Macaca mulatta: one gene and its partners. The protein of the gene in region 1 purifies or fractionates together with the protein of each later gene. This does not show direct contact. Links are inferred from orthologs where the notes say so. Each region holds a gene or a part of one and is shown in the gene's direction. Other genes may lie near its edges.

Region 1 (5,899 bases):
AATACTTAGTTAAATGTCGTTCTGCGGTTTTTCCATTGGTAAAGGATGGAGGAATTTTTCTGAAATTTTTTCACAAATTTTATTGTCTAAGAAGTTTGGTCTTTTTCGGCTGGGCTTGGTGGCTCACGCCTGTAATCCCAGCACTTTGGGTGGCCGAGGCGGGCGGATCACAAGGTCAGGAGATCGAGACCATCCTGGCTAACGGTGAAACCCTGTCACTACTAAAAAAAAAAAAAATACAAAAAAATTAGCCAGGCATGGTGGCGGGCGCCTGTAGTCTCAGCTACTCGGGAGGCTGAGGCAGGAGAATGGCAGGAACCCAGGAGGCAGAGCTTGCCGTGAGCTGAGATTGCACCACTGCACTCCAGCCTGGGCAACAGTGAGACTGTCTCAAAAAGAAAAAAAAAGTTTGCCCTTTTTTCTCTCTATTCGTGAAATTGTAAGATGAAGTTACTAAAATGACAGAAATAAGTGAGGGGAAGGTAGAAAATTGCTTATTTACTGTGATTGTAACTGTAAAGATGTGGGAGGACAGAATTTGAGTTTTTCTGTGACAGTGTGTGCATGGTTTCTTTAATGTTGCATGAGACAGAGCTGGAGACAGAAAGGCAGGCACCTTGTTCCCCAGGAGCATATGGCCTCCTATTCTCAGAATCCTGCAGGCCCCCAAAGTGGCTTAGAGAAAAGCCCAGCAGCCTTAGGCCTCTCAGAGGGTACCTGGTTTGGAAAGGCCTTCCTCGACCCTGCTTTATGAAAAGCATCTCAGCTTCCCCCACCACAGCTCCCTACATTCCTTCCCCTGTTTTGTTGCTGTCTGCTGCATTTGTCACTGTCACATGTTATGTGCTCATTTTTCTGTATATTATCTGCCCCTTCCACTCCATGAGGCAGGGAACATTGTTCACTATCGGGTCCCTGACACCTAGGATGGGCTGTAGCACAAGCTGGGTGCGCCACAGATACCTGTTAGATGAGTGGATGCAGGCAGGGTTGTGAGGTGCGCAGGCATGCCCGACAGTGGGCCTTAAGAATGTGTGTTGCAGCCGGGCATAGTGGCATGCGCTTGTAATCCCAGCTACTCGGGAGGCTGAGGCAGGAGAATCACTTGAACCTGGGAGGTGGAGGTTGCGGTGAGCTGAGATCGCACCATTGCACTCCAGCCTGGGCAATAAGTGAAACCCCATCTCAAAAAAAAAAAAAATGTATGCTGCTCTACCCAGGAGATCTAGAAGTAACTTCTAAAGCATTAATGAGAAACATGGACAAACATTTATGCGGGGATATGCACTGCAGCCTTACATGGCGAAAGCAGTACAAAGACATGCAGATTTTTGTCCTCCTGCACTCTCTTTGTGGCCCACATGTTCTCTGTTTGCTGCCCTTCAGATCAAGCTTCAAGAGTCTCCAGAAGACATGCCTGCAGGGCAGACACCACATACAGTCATCCTATTTGCTCACAATGATCTGGTTGACAAGGTTCAGCCTGGGGACAGAGTGAATGTTACAGGTAAGAGTGTAGGTTTGCATCAGCACTTTAGCATGTCTGTCTTGTTTTCAATGCTGTGCTTTAGTGAGTCATTGGACTCAGTCACAGGTCCAGTTCTGCCTGCAGTTGTCACTGCATGTCTTTGAGACTGTGGGGTATATCCCCAGTTTATCTGCCACCTTTTTAACTGAGTACCACTGCCCAGCGTCATGAAATTGTTCAGTTCTTCTCAAACTTGAATGTTGGAACTCATGGTTTGTGCGGTCACTCGCCTCTTGATATCTCAGTATCCTGGAACTATGTGTGTCTCAAGTCAGTACTGTTGGCATCATGAGACAGCAGCCTCAGATAGGCTGGTATGGGTAGAGTTTGAGTTATGCCATTAGCTAAGTATTATCAATGCTGGAGTTGTAAGTAATTTTTACTTATTTCCCAAATGTGTAGCCAGGGGTTAACATTTGTTTGTTACAGAGAAGAATGAGTCAGAGTGACTTGTTTCCATGTATAGAAGCTGAGGTTCAGGGATGCATAGACAGCAGTAGCTCAGATGCCACGGTAAATCAGGACCCAGGACTCCTTCTCTTGCTGCCACGAGAGTGTTCTTTGCACAGCACCACATGAGTGTGGCAGTCTTCCTTTTGAATCTGTAGAGTCACAATAGATTTTGGTTGGCGGCAAGGGAGTGTTGATGGCAGCACAGTTCTTCATTGATGGGCAAGGTGGCAACGGTCACAGAGTGCCTGAATCTGCTCCTGAGCGGAGAGCCTGGGGCACACCACGCATCGGCCTTTGTCTTCAGTGAGGCAGTGCTCACCCTGTTTCTTCCCCAGTGTGAAGTCCCGCAGTTGTCACTGGCAGTCTTCTGTTGTAAAAGTACTTGTAGTCATTGAGAATTAAAATAATGCGTAGTCTTTAGTGAGTGACGTGCATATTTCCAGTCCTGCTACCCTGAAACCTTTGATAAAGTATTTAATCCAATATTTTAGTTTCCTCACCTACAAAGTGGAGTTAATGTGATGATACATGTGTGAGAGTATTTGGGGCCTAGGGGCTGTGGAAAGTGCTGTGTAGATATGAAATAAGTATCAATGCTGCTCTGTGAGATAAATCATCATGGGCCACTTTAAACATAGTCGTCCATCCCTAGCCTATATTGGAGTGAAGAATAGTGTGTATTCTAAGAATGCATGTAAACTGGTTTGTTGTGTTAAATAAGAATTACACCAACCCACTAAATGAGCAAGACTCTGTGCCATTGTGTTGAGATAGCTGTAAGGGGGAAAGGCCGGACTTTCTCCAAAAGCTGCAGGAATCAGCCTAGAGTTAAAGGCTTCTGGTTTGAAATCCAGAAAAGACGAATATCAGATCAGACTTCTGTATGTGGGGAGCCTGCCTTCCAGAAGAATGCATGATTTGCATGCTTTTGTCAGGGGTGGTGGGCGGGGGGTGGGACCTAGTCTAGTTTTAATGGCTGGAGGATTTTAGCATTTTGTTGAAGTCAAGTAAGTGCTAAGCAGATTCTGTACACTCAACTTAGGGAAGTAAAAATACTGCTTATTAAATACAACCACAAACCCAGCATTGAGCCAGAAGCACAGCAGCTCCATTTCACCCTCAGGGTGACTATGCCCGTGGAGGTGCTCATGTAGCTACAGTTGCCCTGGAGCACTGCTGACTAGTGGGCCCAGGTGAACACGTCCTCGGCTCTGTCATTTACAGAAACCTTGATTCTTTCTCTTTTTGTTTTGTTTTTGAGAGAAGAGTTTCGCTCTTGTTGCCCAGGCTGGAGTCCAATGGCAGGATCTTGGCTCACCGCAACCTCCACCTCCTAGGTTCAAGCCATTCTCCTGCATCAGCCTCCTTAGTAGCTGGGATTAAAGGCGTGTGCCACCACGCCTGGCTAATTTTTATATTTTTAATAGAGACAGGGTTCTCCATGTTGATTAGGGTGGTCTCGAGCTCCTAACCTCAGGTAATCCGCCTGCCTCAGTCTCCCAAAGTTCTAGGAATACAGACATGAGCCACCTGGGTTCTTTCGAGCTTGTCCGTTTCCTGCTGCTGTTTCCCCGCTTGCTCAGTAGGCGGGAGCTTTGCAATGTGGGTCTGAGTCCTGGGCTTGGGAGGGTCATTTAAGAGATGGTGGAGCTCACCTTTCCAGGGCCAGCCCAGTGTGGTGCCTCGCTCTGAAGTGCACCTGTTGCCTACGCTGGTTGCTGAGCCACTCGGAGGAAGATATGGGAAGGTAAAAGTGCATCTCCTGGTTGTGCCCTCAGGCATCTATCGAGCAGTGCCTATTCGAATCAATCCAAGAGTGAGTAATGTGAAGTCTGTCTACAAAACCCACATTGATGTCATTCATTATCGGAAAACGGATGCAAAACGTCTGCATGGCCTTGATGAAGAAGCAGAACAGAAACTTTTTTCAGAGAAACGTGTGGAATTGCTTAAGGAACTTTCCAGGAAACCAGACATTTATGAGAGGCTTGCTTCAGCCTTGGCTCCAAGCATTTATGAACATGAAGATATAAAGAAGGTAACAGTGGATTTTAAACTAGGGGTTGGGATTTACAGTTCTTTAGAATCAAATAGTATAAACATCCACTCCGCCACTTAAGCCATTTGCCATAAAGGATGCAAGCTGTGGCCTGTTAGAGCAAGTGCTGGCAACCGGACTTGCCATTGGTTGAGGAGAGTCATAGCATTGTCTATCCTCATCTCTGCTCTAAACTTAAGTTTCTAAACAGAAGAGGCCACACAGTATCAGAATAGGGAGAGGGACTTGCATGGCCATCATTCTGGCATAATGATGGGTGCTGATGAATAAATTGGTCAGTGATAACTTAGAGCATATCAAGCACTTTCAGGAGCCTTTTTATACCTTCCTGCGATTTCCGAATTGTAGTTCTTTATAGAGAGAAAAGTACCTCTAAAGTTTAAACTACATCTCAGTTACTGTGCAGAAAATGAATGTTTAGACATGTCTCTGTTTGATTATTTAGGGAATTTTGCTTCAGCTCTTTGGCGGGACAAGGAAGGATTTTAGTCACACTGGAAGGGGCAAATTTCGGGCTGAGATCAACATCTTGCTGTGTGGTGACCCTGGTACCAGCAAGTCCCAGCTGCTGCAGTACGTGTACAACCTCGTCCCCAGGGGCCAGTACACTTCTGGGAAGGGCTCCAGTGCAGTTGGCCTTACTGCGTACGTAATGAAAGACCCTGAGACAAGGCAGCTGGTCCTGCAGACAGGTGCCCTTGTCCTCAGTGACAACGGCATCTGCTGTATCGATGAGTTCGACAAGATGAATGAAAGTACAAGATCGGTATTGCATGAAGTCATGGAACAGCAGACTCTGTCCATTGCAAAGGTGAGTTGCCTTCTCCACTGTGAATGTGGACATGTTTAAAATACGTGGACCCTTGAAAGACAGCGTATGTGGAACTGTGCTGTGCTACCTTGGTTCTAACTTGGGGAGATTGATATGTGCTTTTCACATCATATTTCAGCTAAATCTCTACATATCTTCAACAGGATATCATGTTTTGTCTTTATTGCTGTACTAGCCTTGAATTTGTCCTAAAGCTCTTGCAAGGTGCCTGCTTCCTGAGAAAGACGTGGTTATAGCACGCATTCATCTAAACTCAGTCCTTGTCATGAATCTGAGGACAAGGCTTATCCAGGTGAACTGCTGAAGTCAGTAAAGGCAACATGGCTCAGGCAATAGAAATGCTGTAGAGGGAATATGGGTTTAGTAGGTGGCCGGGCAAAGATGGTACTTGTTAATTGCCAGCGTCAGGGAGAGGCTTCTAACCGCACTGTTTTCTCTGATAGGCTGGGATCATCTGTCAGCTCAATGCACGCACCTCTGTCCTGGCAGCAGCAAATCCCATTGAGTCTCAGTGGAATCCTAAAAAAACAACCATTGAAAACATCCAGCTGCCTCATACTTTATTATCAAGGTATTAAAACAGATTTTTATTTTGTTCATTTGTAGAATATTCAGGGTGAGATTGAAAAGGAGCTACTAAGATTCAGCAACTGCTAATGGAAACTCTTCACTCTTATCAAGATGTTTCAAATTTGGTTGGTCAAGAGTTTTCACGACAAGGATGATGCGTGTTTTCATTTGATTTTGAAGCAGTTGGGATGTTTCCCTCCCACGCCATTTTCACATGGCTGTCACTCACTACCCTTAGTCCTAAAGCCACTGCTGAGAGTCAACAGAGAACAACTCTGTACCGTAGATGAGGCTCTGAAAAGTTAGATTTATTAAAGTGCAATCACATAATCTTCACTCTCAGCCCCACTACAAATATTGGACATTTTTCATAAATGGATTTTAGGTTTTAATTACTTGCTTTTTTTTTTTTTTTTTTTACAAAAGTTTTTTTCCCCAAAAAACAGTTGAATGTGTT
Region 2 (5,999 bases), on another chromosome or scaffold:
CAAGCATGGTTTAAGAAGTACTTACGTGCGGCCGGGTGTGGTGGCTCACGCCTGTAATCCCAGCACTCTGGGAGGCCGAGGCGGGTGGATCATGAGGTCAGGAGATCGAGACCATCCTGGCTAACACAGTGAAACCCCGTCTCTACTAAAAAACACAAAAAATTAGCCGGGCATAGTGGCAGGCGCCTGTAGTCCCAGCTACTCGGGAGGCTGAGGCAGGAGAATGGCGTGAACCCAGGAGGCGGAGCTTGCAGTGAGCCGAGATTGTGCCACTGCACTCCAGCACTCCAGCCTGGGCGACAGAGCAAGACTCCGTCTCAAAAAAAAAAAAAAAAAAAAGAAAAAAAAAAAGAAGTACTTACGTGCATGTCAAGTGAAAAAGCACTTGACATGAGCTCTCTGTAATTCCTCGCTCTTGAGTGGAACCCTCAGTCTGAGGCTGCCAGCCCTGCACTGTACCCAGGAACACATAGGTGACTGCACTAATTGAACCCTTAGGAAGGAGCAGCAGCTATCTCTGCCTCTCCTCAATTTCCTGGGGCTCAAGGCGGACTTTTGACTCCCAGAGAAGAGCAGGAGCCTTTCCTACACTTCCGTTCAACATTCCAGCACCTTCTCTGAGACCTAGTACCCTAACCTACTGGTAAAAATGACGCCTACTTCCCAGCCAGGGTGACTGCTGAGATTCAAAGTCACCACCACGAAAACATGGGAAACTCTAAAACCAGCTATGTGGCAGATGCCAGTCTCAAACATGAGATTGTTAATTGCCTGGATCCCTGGGGACGCTGAAGGGACTGAGGACAAAAGAATAACTAACTGCACTAGTAGAGGAATAAGACTGGCTTGAGCTTGCATTCCCACTCTACCAACTCCAAACTTCACTGTCCTCATTTGTAAATAGGGTGCTATAAGGAATAAATGACGTAATACATGAAGTGTTGGGCACAGGATCCGGCTCATAGCAAATGACCAATACATCCTAGCTATCATTATTCTACATTAATAACAACCATGACACACAACTACGATGTGTGCGGGGGAGGGGGAAGACTGGAGAGAGCAACCCTTCCTATCACTCCCTCATTTCACAGGTGAGGAAACTGAAAGCCAGGCAAGGTTCCCAGCCAGCTCCGGGCTTTCCGGAGTTGAGGAGGGGAGGAAGGGGGTGGGGATCTCAGGAGAGGGAGAGAAAGCCGGCAGGAGTCGAGGTAGGCCTCTGGGGAGCGAGCTGCATAGCTTGCAGGGGCGCACCTGTGAGAGTGAGGGGTGAAGCCTAAAGCAGCAGCCCTGAGTGATGGCTCATGCGTGTAACCCCAGCACTTTGGGAGGCCAGGTGGGAGGATTGCTTGACTCCATGAGTTTGAGACCAGCCTGGGCAACATAGGGAGACGTCCTCCCACGTCCCTACAAAAAAAATTTTAAAACTGGCCGGGCGCGGTGGCTCACGCCTGTAACCCTAACACTTTGGGAAGCCGAGGCGGGAGGATCATTTGAGGTCAGGAGTTCGAGACCAGCCTGGCCAACGTGGTGAAACCCCGTCTCTACAAAACACACACACACACACACACACACACACACACACACGGCCGGATGTGGTGGGCGCCTGTAGTCCCAGCCACTCGGGAGGCTGAGGCAGGACAATTGCTTGAACTCAGCGATTGAACTCGGGAGGCGGAGGTTTCAGTGAGCCAAGATCGCGCCACTGCACTCCAGCCTGGGTGACAGAACAAGACCTTGTCTCAGAAAAAAACAAAAAAGAAAGAAAAAGCAGCAGCCTTGATTTGAGAGGGAGGCCCCAGTGGGGCTTGAGATCAGGACTACGGAAGGCAGGGGGTGGAAGCAAGAAAAGGCAGGCCTATGGGAAAAGGGAATTAAGGGCGTAGGATTTGGAAGAGCGGCTTGGAGGATGTGGGCCTGAAATGAAAGGGGGGACTAAGGGAATAGGGAAGCGGGGCTCTGAGGCGGCGAGCCTTAGGGCACAGGGGCTCTCCGAAATGAGAGGCCAATGGGAGGGAGCTGGGCTCTTGGAAGGCGGTGTCGAAGGGAGCGAGGCACTGGCACTGAGCGAGGCACTGTAGAGTAAAGGAGGCGCGAGCTGAGTGCGGCGGAGGTCCGGCGGGTGACGTAGAACATCTCACCTGTCTTCGGCGTCGCGGTTTCAGCCTCTGTATCCGGTCAGCCCCGGGAACTGCCCCCGGCGCGCCTGCGGCTCCCGGGAACCCCGGAAACCCCTAGCCCGGAGCTCCAGCCGCTGCCTTGACAACGGCGTCGGACGCCGCGGTGCCCGCGGGGAGGAGCAGGAAGCGCGCCACGGCGAGGGGGCGGTCCCGGAAGTGCGTCAGTCTTACCTTCGCGGCCACAACTCGCTCGGCTGCCGCCATTTTGCGAGCTCGTCGTACTGTTCGAGCGGGGAGGCTGTCTTGAGGCGGCACTCCTCACCGACACCGAGGCGGACTGGCAGCCCTCAGCGTCGCAGTCATGCCGGCCGGACCCGTGCAGGCGGTGCCCCCGCCGCCGCCCGTGGCCACCGAGCCCAAACAGGTACCTCTCCCCCGCCCCTCAACCTGCAGCCGGAGCGTGGGCCTGGGCGCTACTTACTTGAGCGGGAATAAGCGGCCGCTATGAAGGGCTTGGAGGGACTGCAAATCCCAGGAGGCTGCGCGCTTCCCGCGCTATGGTGGTGGTTCTGGTAACGAAACCAGCTGCTCTGAACGGGGTTCTCAAAGTGGTCCGCGGAGCAGCCGCGTCGGCACGAGCCGAGAGCTTAGAAATGTGGAGTCTCCGCCCTAGACCTTTTAAATAGGGATCTTACATTTGAACAAAATCCTAAGGTGATTGATTTGTAAGTGTGAGAGGCGCTGATCCAGCCCATCCTGTGATCTTCTGTGGCAGTTGGGGCCACCGGCCCCAGCCTTTCCCCAGTAATGCCCACTTTCCCAGCCTGGGCGGTACATCTTTGGATGTTAATTCTCAGCATCTATTTCGGTGTCTGCCCCAAGCCAGACACCGTGCCACGCTCCCACGTTACCGGAATGAATGGGGCACGGGGAGCTCACAGGCTAACGAGAAGACAGATACACGAGAATGCTCACCAAATGTTTATTGTTCCGATGGCCGTCAATGATACAGTGTCAGCCCGCCCTTAATAAACCTCTCGAATCTCAAATGTGTATAAACCATTGTAGTACGGTGTGATATGCCCTGTGATAGAAGTTTCAGGTACAAATCTAGTCAACATTGCTTGCTGGAGTAGAAGGGATATTAAGGTAGGGAAGCCCACGGGAGTGAGAGGTAAATTTCTTTTAGAAGAAGGAATGGGAGTTTGCCAGGCAGGTGACTAGGGAAGGGAAATAACATCCTTTATTCATCCAGCAAATATTTATTGAGCATATATGCTGATCATTGCTTTGGGTTTGGAATGAGGGGGACATGACTGAAGAAGCCATGCCTTTTCCACAGATATTTAAGTACCTGTGTGTCCCTGGCATTTTCCCAGGCGTTGGGAGAAAATAAGGTAATGGCCAGATAATATGCACAAAGACACTGAGTTAAGAATCAAACGGTGTCTCTGATCAAGAGTAAATGAACAAGTGTTGAAGCATAGAGCGTGGTGACAGGAGATGCAATTCTTTCTTAGGATTTGAACTTTTCCTTGTAGACAATGGGAAGAAAAGGGAGAGTTTTAAGCCAAATAGTGACATTTGTGTTTCAGAAATTCAGGTAGGCAGGCATGTGGAGAGTCACTACGAGGAGGGGAGGCCAGTCACGCTATTCCAAGGGGCTGAAGGCCTGGCCTAGATTAGGGCAGAGGGGTGGGCAGGCTTTCCAGCCAGAGTGGTGTGTTAGAATTCTGGTTCTGCCAGTTGGACATTAAGCTCTCCATCTCTCAGTTTTGTCATCTGTAATGTGGAGATATTAAGAGTACTTGGCCGGCCCAGTGGCTCACGCGTGTAATTCCAGCACTTTAGGAGGCCGAGGCAGACAGATCACTTGAGGTCAGGAGTTTGAGACCAGCCTGGCCAACATGGCAAAACCCTGTCTCTACTAAAAGTAAAAAAAATTAGCCAGGTGTGGTGCATGTTTGTAATCCCCACTATTCGGGAGAGAATTACTTGAACCTGGGAAGCGGAGGTTGCAGTGAGCCAAGATCATGCCACTGCACTCCAGCCTGGGCGACAGCAAGAGAGAGTCTCAAAAAAAAAGAGTACTTAATCTTATAGGCTTCTTATAAGAGTTATAAGAATTAGTATATTTAAAGTGCTTGGGAAAAATACCTGGAATCTACTCAGTGCTTGATAAAAGTTTTTTTTAAGAGACCGGGTGTCGTTCTGTCACCCAGGCTGGAATGCAGTGGTGCAGTCGTAGCTTACTGAAGCCTTGAATTCCTGGGCTCAAGCAATCCTCCTACCTCAGCCTCCTGACTCACCGGGATTATAGGTGCAAGCCATTGTGCCCAACTTGATCAATGTTATTATTATTGAGTGTGGAAGCTGAGGAAGAGAGAGGAGCCCCAACTTTGTGGCATGGACGACTGAGTAGCTATTCCTGAGGAAAGAGGTTAGAGATGAAAGTGCCCAGTAGTTAGCTGGACCCGAAGCTGTTCAGTACGCAAGAGTGTTCTGGGACATCAGTTTGGGCCAGATTGTATAGAGGCAGGAGGGGAAGTGGAGGACACTGTCAAAACTGAGAAGAGAACCAAGAACAGAATTGGGCGGTGGGAGCGGGGATCTCCAACTTCACAGAGCAGGAGGTGAAACAGGCCAGGAAGGAAACTTGGATGGAATGGTGAGCAAGATGGGAAGACAGGTAAGAATGGGGTCTAGGAGTTGAGAGTTTTCATGAAGGAGTGGTTACCATTCACACCCAGATAATGGCTGTGGGCAGTCGTTTTTGACTTTGTCAAGAGCACTTAAAATGAATGGGGACCAAATGGGAGGCAGGGAAGTGGGATCAGCAAACTGAAGAGAACTCAGGATGTTAAGCTGCCAGAGGATGGGGCGGGAGAAGGCAGCGGCAGAAAGGAACATGGAGGCAGAGGAGAAACTTCATTTTTCTAAGATAAGAGATTTGACCCTTTGTTTACTAAGGGGAAGAAGCTGCTGGAGAAAAAATATTGGTACTTATGGCATAGTTAATGCTGAACATTCCAGTGGAATTTCACAAAACACCTGAGCATTGAATGTTGGTTGACAGTGGAGTAGAGGCAAAGAGCGAGGGCATCCAGGGCAGAAGAATTTGTCATCAAATAGTTTCCCATTTCTTTATTCAGCAAACAATCATTAAAAATTACATGCCAAGCCCATCGCTGGGTGCGTGGAGTCCAGACATGGCCTGGATTCTGGAACATGGTTTCTCAGAATGTAGTCGGAGTCCCTGCATCTGAATCACCTGGGCATTTGGTAAAAATGCAGATTCCTGGTGTCACTGAGACAGTCCAACTAGAGAGGAGCCAGGGAAGCTGCTGTTTCCCTGGGTCCCCAGGAGCAGCCCCCGCAGGTGCAGTGAACTTAAGAGAACTGCTTTTCTGAAGCAGAGGGTTCTAACCTGAGGGAAGTCTGTGAGTGAAAGTCTACTCTGAATGATATCCTAGAGGAGTGTAATAGTGGAGAACCTGCTCTGAACCAGGGACTTTAAAACCTTATTTCTTTTCCTGTTTTCATAGCCCACAGAAGAAGAAGCATCTTCAAAGGAGGATTCTGCACCTTCTAAGCCAGTTGTGGGGATTATTTACCCTCCTCCAGAGGTCAGAAATATTGTTGACAAGACTGCCAGCTTTGTGGCCAGGTAACAGAGCTACCTGGGTGGGTCAGAGGTGGGTTTCAGCATGAAGAGATTTCAGCACTGAATCAGCACAAAGGGTTTTAAAGAGATGTTGTTGGCTTGGGCCTTTTAGTTCATAAAAAACCACAGCATGGCATTGGGGTAGGCAATAGGTAGGACTGGTGTCCCTGACACAGCATAGCAATAGCCAAAGTGAGGATCAGACTTAGCCCTGC
Region 3 (5,999 bases), on another chromosome or scaffold:
AAGAAGTCGGATATGCAGTTCATACTGAGAGAGTGCTCAGGGGACACTCAGAAGGGGGCCCAGTGGTGGCCTCAGGAGAGGGAGGTCCCACAGGACAGGGAGACAGGATCACGACCTGGAGGGGGCAGCTTAGAGGGGTCGGAGGACTGGGGAGCCTGTCCCTTTAAGCCAGGCAACCCTAGTCAGGTTCTCTCTTCTCTTGATACTCTGGCTTCCAAGAGACCAGGGCGGGGGACCCCCTTTTTGTTCGTCTCCACCCCACTCCCCTGTGATGTCACAGCAGGGGTGGGGTCTCCAATCCTGGGCTCCTGATTGCCTGGGATGTAGCTGGCTGGAGCCCTCTGGGACTAATGTTTTATCTGCACTCTGTCTACTGTTTCTGTTCTGTTCTCTTCTGCAGCATCCTCATCCCAGCTCACCAGCTGCTCACGCTCTCCCTAAAGCCCTTTGCAATTTCCCGTCCCCTAGTCACCTAACAGCCTGCCTGAACTGAAGACCGCCTTCATTCCTGAGTGCCAGCCAAATTCCACCCAGTTCTGCAGCCGTCCCCTCCTTTCCTGAATTGCCCCCAGTGGCATGGGTCAGGGGGAGAGGGTCTCTTGAAAGTTTTTCTGGGTCTTCTGGGGTGTGATGAGTAAAGACTCACATATTTCTAACTCCAGTTGGTAATGAGTTTCACTCTACCTGTAGCATAGCAGTTAGCACTTCTTTTTTTTTTTTTTTCAGTTTATTTATCAAAATCATTTGTTAGATTATGTTTTCCCGAAAGGTTGGGGCTGGGTCTTTCTTTCTTTCTTCCTTCCTTCCTTCTCTTTCTTTTCTTCCTTCCTTCCATTTTTTTTTTCTTTTTCTTTTTCTTTTTTTGGCAGAGACTCGCTCTGTTGCCCAGACTGGAGTGCAGTGGCACGATCTCAGCTCACTGCAACCTCTGTCTCCTGGGTTCAAGCAATTCTTGTGCCTCAGCCTCCCAAGTAGCTGGGATTATAGGCACCCGCCACCATGCCTGGCTAATTTTTGTATTTTTAATAGAGACGGGGCTTCCACATTGGCCAGGCTGGTCTTGAACTCCTGACCTCAAGTGATCTGCCTACCTCGGCCTCCCCAAGTGCTGGGATTACAGGTGTGAGCCACTGCGCCCAGCCAGGGATGTTTTCGTCTTGTTCAAGTTCCTCAAATCCGAGAAGTGTGCTAAATTAGTCATAGGCCCTCAATATCTATCTATTAAACCCAGTTGAATTTATATTGCTAGATAATGCTGGAATAGCCACTACTCAGAGGTTAAAGCTATGAATTCAGGGGAGAAGGGTGCATTCCTGTTGTCTCTTACCTCAGGATTGAGTTAGCAAGCTGGTGTACTGATTGTCAGGGAAATCTTGAGTTTACATATTCTGTACTAATGTCTTCATGTAGGACACATATCATCAATCATTCTGAACATACAGTCACTGTGATTATGACAGAAGATAACTGGACTGGTGGTGGTAAGGAGGTCTGTGTCCTAGCCTTGTTGCCAACGCACTGAGACCCTGGGCAACTCACTCCCCTTTGGGTCTCAGTATTCCCATCAGTAAAAAGAGGTTGGGGTAGAAAAACTAAAATATATTTTCCAGGTCTGGTCTCTGATGTTGCAAAAATGCACTCTGGGACTATATGAGGGAGAGCTGGCTTCCGCAACCCCAGGATGATGTGGTTTCAAATCAGTTCTGGCTCCAAAGTGAATCTGATACCAGGACTTGAACTGGATACGGCCATTTGTCAGCCTCTTGGGGGGACCTATACATTTCGGTTAGGGATGTGAAAATTTTGGGTGTAGACGGCGAACTTGACAGGTCAGCCAGAAAGCAGTGCACCCACGGTGACACCAACACCCGCATTCTCTCCGCAGCCAGTGCGAGAGGTCGTTTCTTCCCACAACTGTTCAAATACTTTTCTTCGTGTTCCATCGACTCCTCTCCATGACACAGAAACTATTTTGCAGAGAAACGGGCACGCATCATTTCAACACACACCCCCACCCCATTCCTGTACTAAGCTAAGTCTGATACAATACAACTACACAATTTCTCTTCAGTATCTAGTCTCCACTGAAGAAGTGTCTGTAGTTTCTAAAGAGCCCTACACAAATTTTCTAGGCAGATTCCACCCGGCTGAGAGAGACTTCACGGCAACCACTCTTCCCTCAGGTCCTCCAGAGTCGCTGACGCTCTATGCGACTGTCTCGCAGGCGGGCCGGGCTCGCGTCTCTCTAGCCAGCTCGTCGTCTCTGTGGCCTGTGCACGGCTTCCGGTGGCGGGACGCGGGGCCGCGCACGCGGGAAAAGCTTCCCCGGTGTCCCCCCCATCCCCCGCCCCACCGCGTCCCCCCAGCGCGCCCACCTCCTGCGCCGGGGCCCTCGCGAGGCTGCAGCCTGAGGAGGTAGGTGGTGGTCGTCCCCCGGTCCCAGGAAGGCAGGGGCGCCCCTCCCCCAAGGGACGCTCGACATGGACCATTCCGCGTTCGAAACCGCGGGGAGCGGGCGAATCCATCCTGTGGGGCGGGGGTGAACCGGAGGCCCGCGGGGTGGTGGGAGCGCTGCGAGGGAAACCCTGCACTCTGAGCTGGATTGGGGCGCGTGCGAGGTGCGGGCTCCGGGCTGACCCTGGGGTTCCGCTGCTCGTTGCCATGGCTCCCGCCAGAGCGGCTAGAGCGGGCATCGGGTTGGGTGTCAGCGGTATTCCAGGCCCGGTTCTCCACCTGGGCTTAGGCCTGGACCCTCGAGCGCTGCAGCGTCCGTCTGTAGGTTTCCAGGCAGAGGAAATCCTGAGACATCCCAGGCGCAGTTGGGAGTTGCTGCTGTGCTCCATCCGTGAGCACAGCGAGGTGCTGTCTTTCATGCTTATCTGTCTTCCTCTTGAATTTAGATTCCCAACCTGCTGAGCATCCGCCCACCCACTCAGGAGTTGGGGCCCAGCCCCCAGTTTACTCGGTTTCCCTTGTGCAGCCTGGGGCTCTGCCCAGGCCACCACAGGCAGGGGTCGACATGGCAGAGACACTGGAGTTCAACGACATCTATCAGGAGGTGAAAGGCTCCATGGTGAGAATGGCTTGGGCAGTTGATACAAGTAGAGAGAAGGAAGGAGGGTAGAGTTTTTGTCCATTAACGAGAGCTTGCTTTGGTAATGTTATTTTGGAAAAAGAAGACTCAGTATAACGTGTACCTAGTGTCTCCCCCAACACGAGGCAATACTGAGAGATAGTCTCAGAGTTATAGGGACCGTATATGCTCTTCAGTTCCCAATTCCTGTTTTACAAATGAGGAAACTGAGAATCTGTTAAGGATTCTAAATACCAGAGCCTGGTGTGGAATCTAGACTCCTTGCACCTCAGCTGTTGCTCCTGCATTGACAGTCTGCCCAGCCCACTCGCAGCTGGAAAGTGTGTTGGGTAGAACTGGACCCAGGACATGCTGTGTACTGTCCCCATGCATCTGGGCCTGCTTTTCTTACAGAATGATGGTCGACTGAGGTTGAGCCGCCAGGGCATCATCTTCAAGAACAGCAAGACGGGGAAAGTGGACAACATCCAGGCTGGGGAGTTAACAGAAGGCATCTGGCGCCGTGTTGCTCTGGGCCATGGACTTAAACTGCTTACAAAGAATGGCCATGTCTACAAGTATGATGGCTTCCGAGAATCGGTGAGCTGTCCCATAGCTATAAACCCCCTTTTTACTGCATCATCTTGTTTTAATCTTCTAGAGACTCGAGGTTCCTTCCTCATGTAACCCTGTGATTGCTAGTTTGGGCTCCTTAGAGCAGGACTGTGAGGCCATGAGGCAATCAGTGTTCGGCTTTGAGTGTTGAAGTCTTGTGAATTTCTGTGTGCCTTGACTCCAGAAGATTTTCTTCTGTCTTGATTTAGATACTAGTTTCTACCTGTGACTTTTATCAAGGTTCAGGATCTTAGCTTGATGTCTTTTTGTGTTTTTTTTTTTTTTTTTTGAGACAGGGCCTCGCTCTGTCACCCAGGCTGGAGTGCAGTGGCGCAATCTCCGCTCACTGCAGCCTCTGCCTCGTGGGTTCAAGTAATCCTTCCACCTCAGCCTCCTGAATATCTGGTACCACAGGCACATGCCACCATGCCCAGCTGATTTTTCATAATTTTTGGTAGAAATGGGGTTTCGCCACGTTACCCAGTCTGGTCTTGAGCTCTCAGACTCAAGGGATCGCCCACCTTGGCCTCCCAAAGCGTTGAGATTACAGGCATGAGCCATTGCGCCTGGCTAGCTTGATGTCTTAAAGTGTGGGTTTCCATTTTGAACTGCTTGAGTTAAAGGCTTTATTTGATTTTAATTTCCACTTTCATTAAAGTAATACCTATACAAAGTTTATAAAATCAGATGACCCATAACCAGGAATGTCAGATCCAGTGGCTAGAAGCAACCTCTCTAAACCATCTTTTAAACAATGTTAGAGCTGGGTTGCTAAGTCATCATGAGTTTCTTTTTTTTTTTTTTTTTTTTGAGACGGAGTCTTGCTCTGTCGCCCAGGCTCTAGTGCAGTGGCGCGATCTCGGCTCACTGCAAGCTCTGCCTCCTGGGTTCACACCATTCTCCTGCCTCAGCCTTCCGAGTAGCTGGGACTACAGGCGCCCACCACCTCGCCCGGCTAATTTTTTGTATTTTTAATAGAGACGGGGTTTCACCGTGTTAACCAGGATGGTCTCAATCTCCTGACCTCGTGATCCACCCGCCTCGGCCTCCCAAAGTGCTGGGATTACAGGCGTGAGCCACCACGCCCGGCAGCAAGAGTTTCTTATAAAGCCTATTTGGGACAGTTTCTCAGAAATAGATAATCCCAGGACATTCAAGTCGGTGTTAAGGCCACCAGGGTTTACTGGGATTGCGTTTTCTTCCCTCCACCCACAGGAGTTTGAGAAACTCTCTGATTTCTTCAAAACTCACTATCGCCTTGAGCTAATGGAGAAGGACCTTTGTGTGAAGGGCTGGAACTGGGGGACAGTGAAATTTGGTGGTGAGTCCTGGGGAAGACTGAGGTTTGGGGAGGAAGATAGGGTGAAGGGCTTCAGCCTTTTACTTGTTTTGCTCTTTTCCTTCTGCCACTGTCTCTGGTTTCCTATCTGTTTGCATGTTCATCGTGTGTTTATTGAGTACCTACAGTTTACTGGGCACTGTGCCTGGGGTTGGGGTTACAGTGTAAAAAGACTAACCCCAGTATCCTGTCTCTGTGGAACTCAAGTTTGGTGGGAATGTTGCTTATGCAGACTTAAGGGGAGGAGCTTGTGGCTTGACAAGCCCTTTCCTCACAGGGCAGCTGCTTTCCTTTGACATTGGTGACCAGCCAGTCTTTGAGATACCCCTCAGCAATGTGTCCCAGTGCACCACTGGCAAGAATGAGGTGACACTGGAATTCCACCAAAACGATGACGCAGAGGTGTCTCTCATGGAGGTCCGCTTTTATGTCCCTCCCACCCAGGAGGATGGTGTGGACCCTGTTGAGGTGAGGCGTCCCCTGGTTGCCTTGGCAGCAGATGGTGCTGAGCAGGCATTGGCTGGCCTGGGAGCAGGGCCTGCTGCTTGGTTACCAATGTGTGCTTTTTGCAGGCCTTTGCCCAGAATGTGTTGTCGAAGGCGGATGTAATCCAGGCCACGGGAGATGCCATCTGCATCTTCCGGGAGCTGCAGTGTCTGACTCCTCGAGGGCGTTACGACATTCGGATCTACCCCACCTTTCTGCACCTGCATGGCAAGACCTTTGACTACAAGATCCCCTATACCACAGTGCTGCGTCTGTTTTTGTTACCCCACAAGGACCAGCGACAGATGTTCTTTGTGGTAAGCCGAAACCCCTATGGCCGGATAATCGTGGTTTTTGCGTGTTAAGTAGACGGACCTCACTGGTGTGCAGAATTCTATGTTAGTGAATCGCAAGTTGTTGTAGAGTATCAATTGGTGCTCTTCCTTACTAGATCAGCCTGGACCCCCCAATCAAGCAAGGCCAAAC

Evidence for each region. Proteins that work in one complex are often made in the same cells at the same time.
Region 2: the proteins of MCM4 (region 1) and SF3A1 fractionate together in Homo sapiens (co-fractionation; 3 studies listed by BioGRID, with this or other methods). This does not show direct contact. The link is inferred for Macaca mulatta from reciprocal best matches to the Homo sapiens genes MCM4 and SF3A1.
Region 3: the proteins of MCM4 (region 1) and SSRP1 purify together in Homo sapiens (affinity purification with mass spectrometry; 4 studies listed by BioGRID and IntAct, counting the BioPlex papers as one, with this or other methods). This does not show direct contact. The link is inferred for Macaca mulatta from reciprocal best matches to the Homo sapiens genes MCM4 and SSRP1.

What each region holds. Positions count from the first base shown.
Region 1 is NC_133413.1:58,511,653-58,517,551, forward strand, and holds part of MCM4 (DNA replication licensing factor MCM4), read left to right. Parts: intron 1-1,386; coding exon 1,387-1,507; intron 1,508-3,759; coding exon 3,760-4,019; intron 4,020-4,485; coding exon 4,486-4,851; intron 4,852-5,315; coding exon 5,316-5,443; intron 5,444-5,899. UniProt on the Homo sapiens protein: Acts as a component of the MCM2-7 complex (MCM complex) which is the replicative helicase essential for 'once per cell cycle' DNA replication initiation and elongation in eukaryotic cells.
Region 2 is NC_133415.1:21,187,133-21,193,131, forward strand, and holds the start of SF3A1 (splicing factor 3A subunit 1), read left to right. Parts: upstream 1-2,363; 5' UTR 2,364-2,481; coding exon 2,482-2,544; exon of another isoform or gene 2,545-2,643; intron 2,644-5,665; coding exon 5,666-5,787; intron 5,788-5,999. UniProt on the Homo sapiens protein: Component of the 17S U2 SnRNP complex of the spliceosome, a large ribonucleoprotein complex that removes introns from transcribed pre-mRNAs.
Region 3 is NC_133419.1:16,069,209-16,075,207, forward strand, and holds the start of SSRP1 (FACT complex subunit SSRP1), read left to right. Parts: upstream 1-2,344; 5' UTR 2,345-2,415; exon of another isoform or gene 2,416-2,618; intron 2,619-2,900; 5' UTR 2,901-3,019; coding exon 3,020-3,073; intron 3,074-3,487; coding exon 3,488-3,673; intron 3,674-4,903; coding exon 4,904-5,009; intron 5,010-5,304; coding exon 5,305-5,495; intron 5,496-5,599; coding exon 5,600-5,830; intron 5,831-5,964; coding exon 5,965-5,999. Other genes in the region: P2RX3 (P2X purinoceptor 3), read right to left, coding at 1-23. UniProt on the Homo sapiens protein: Component of the FACT complex, a general chromatin factor that acts to reorganize nucleosomes. The FACT complex is involved in multiple processes that require DNA as a template such as mRNA elongation, DNA replication and DNA repair.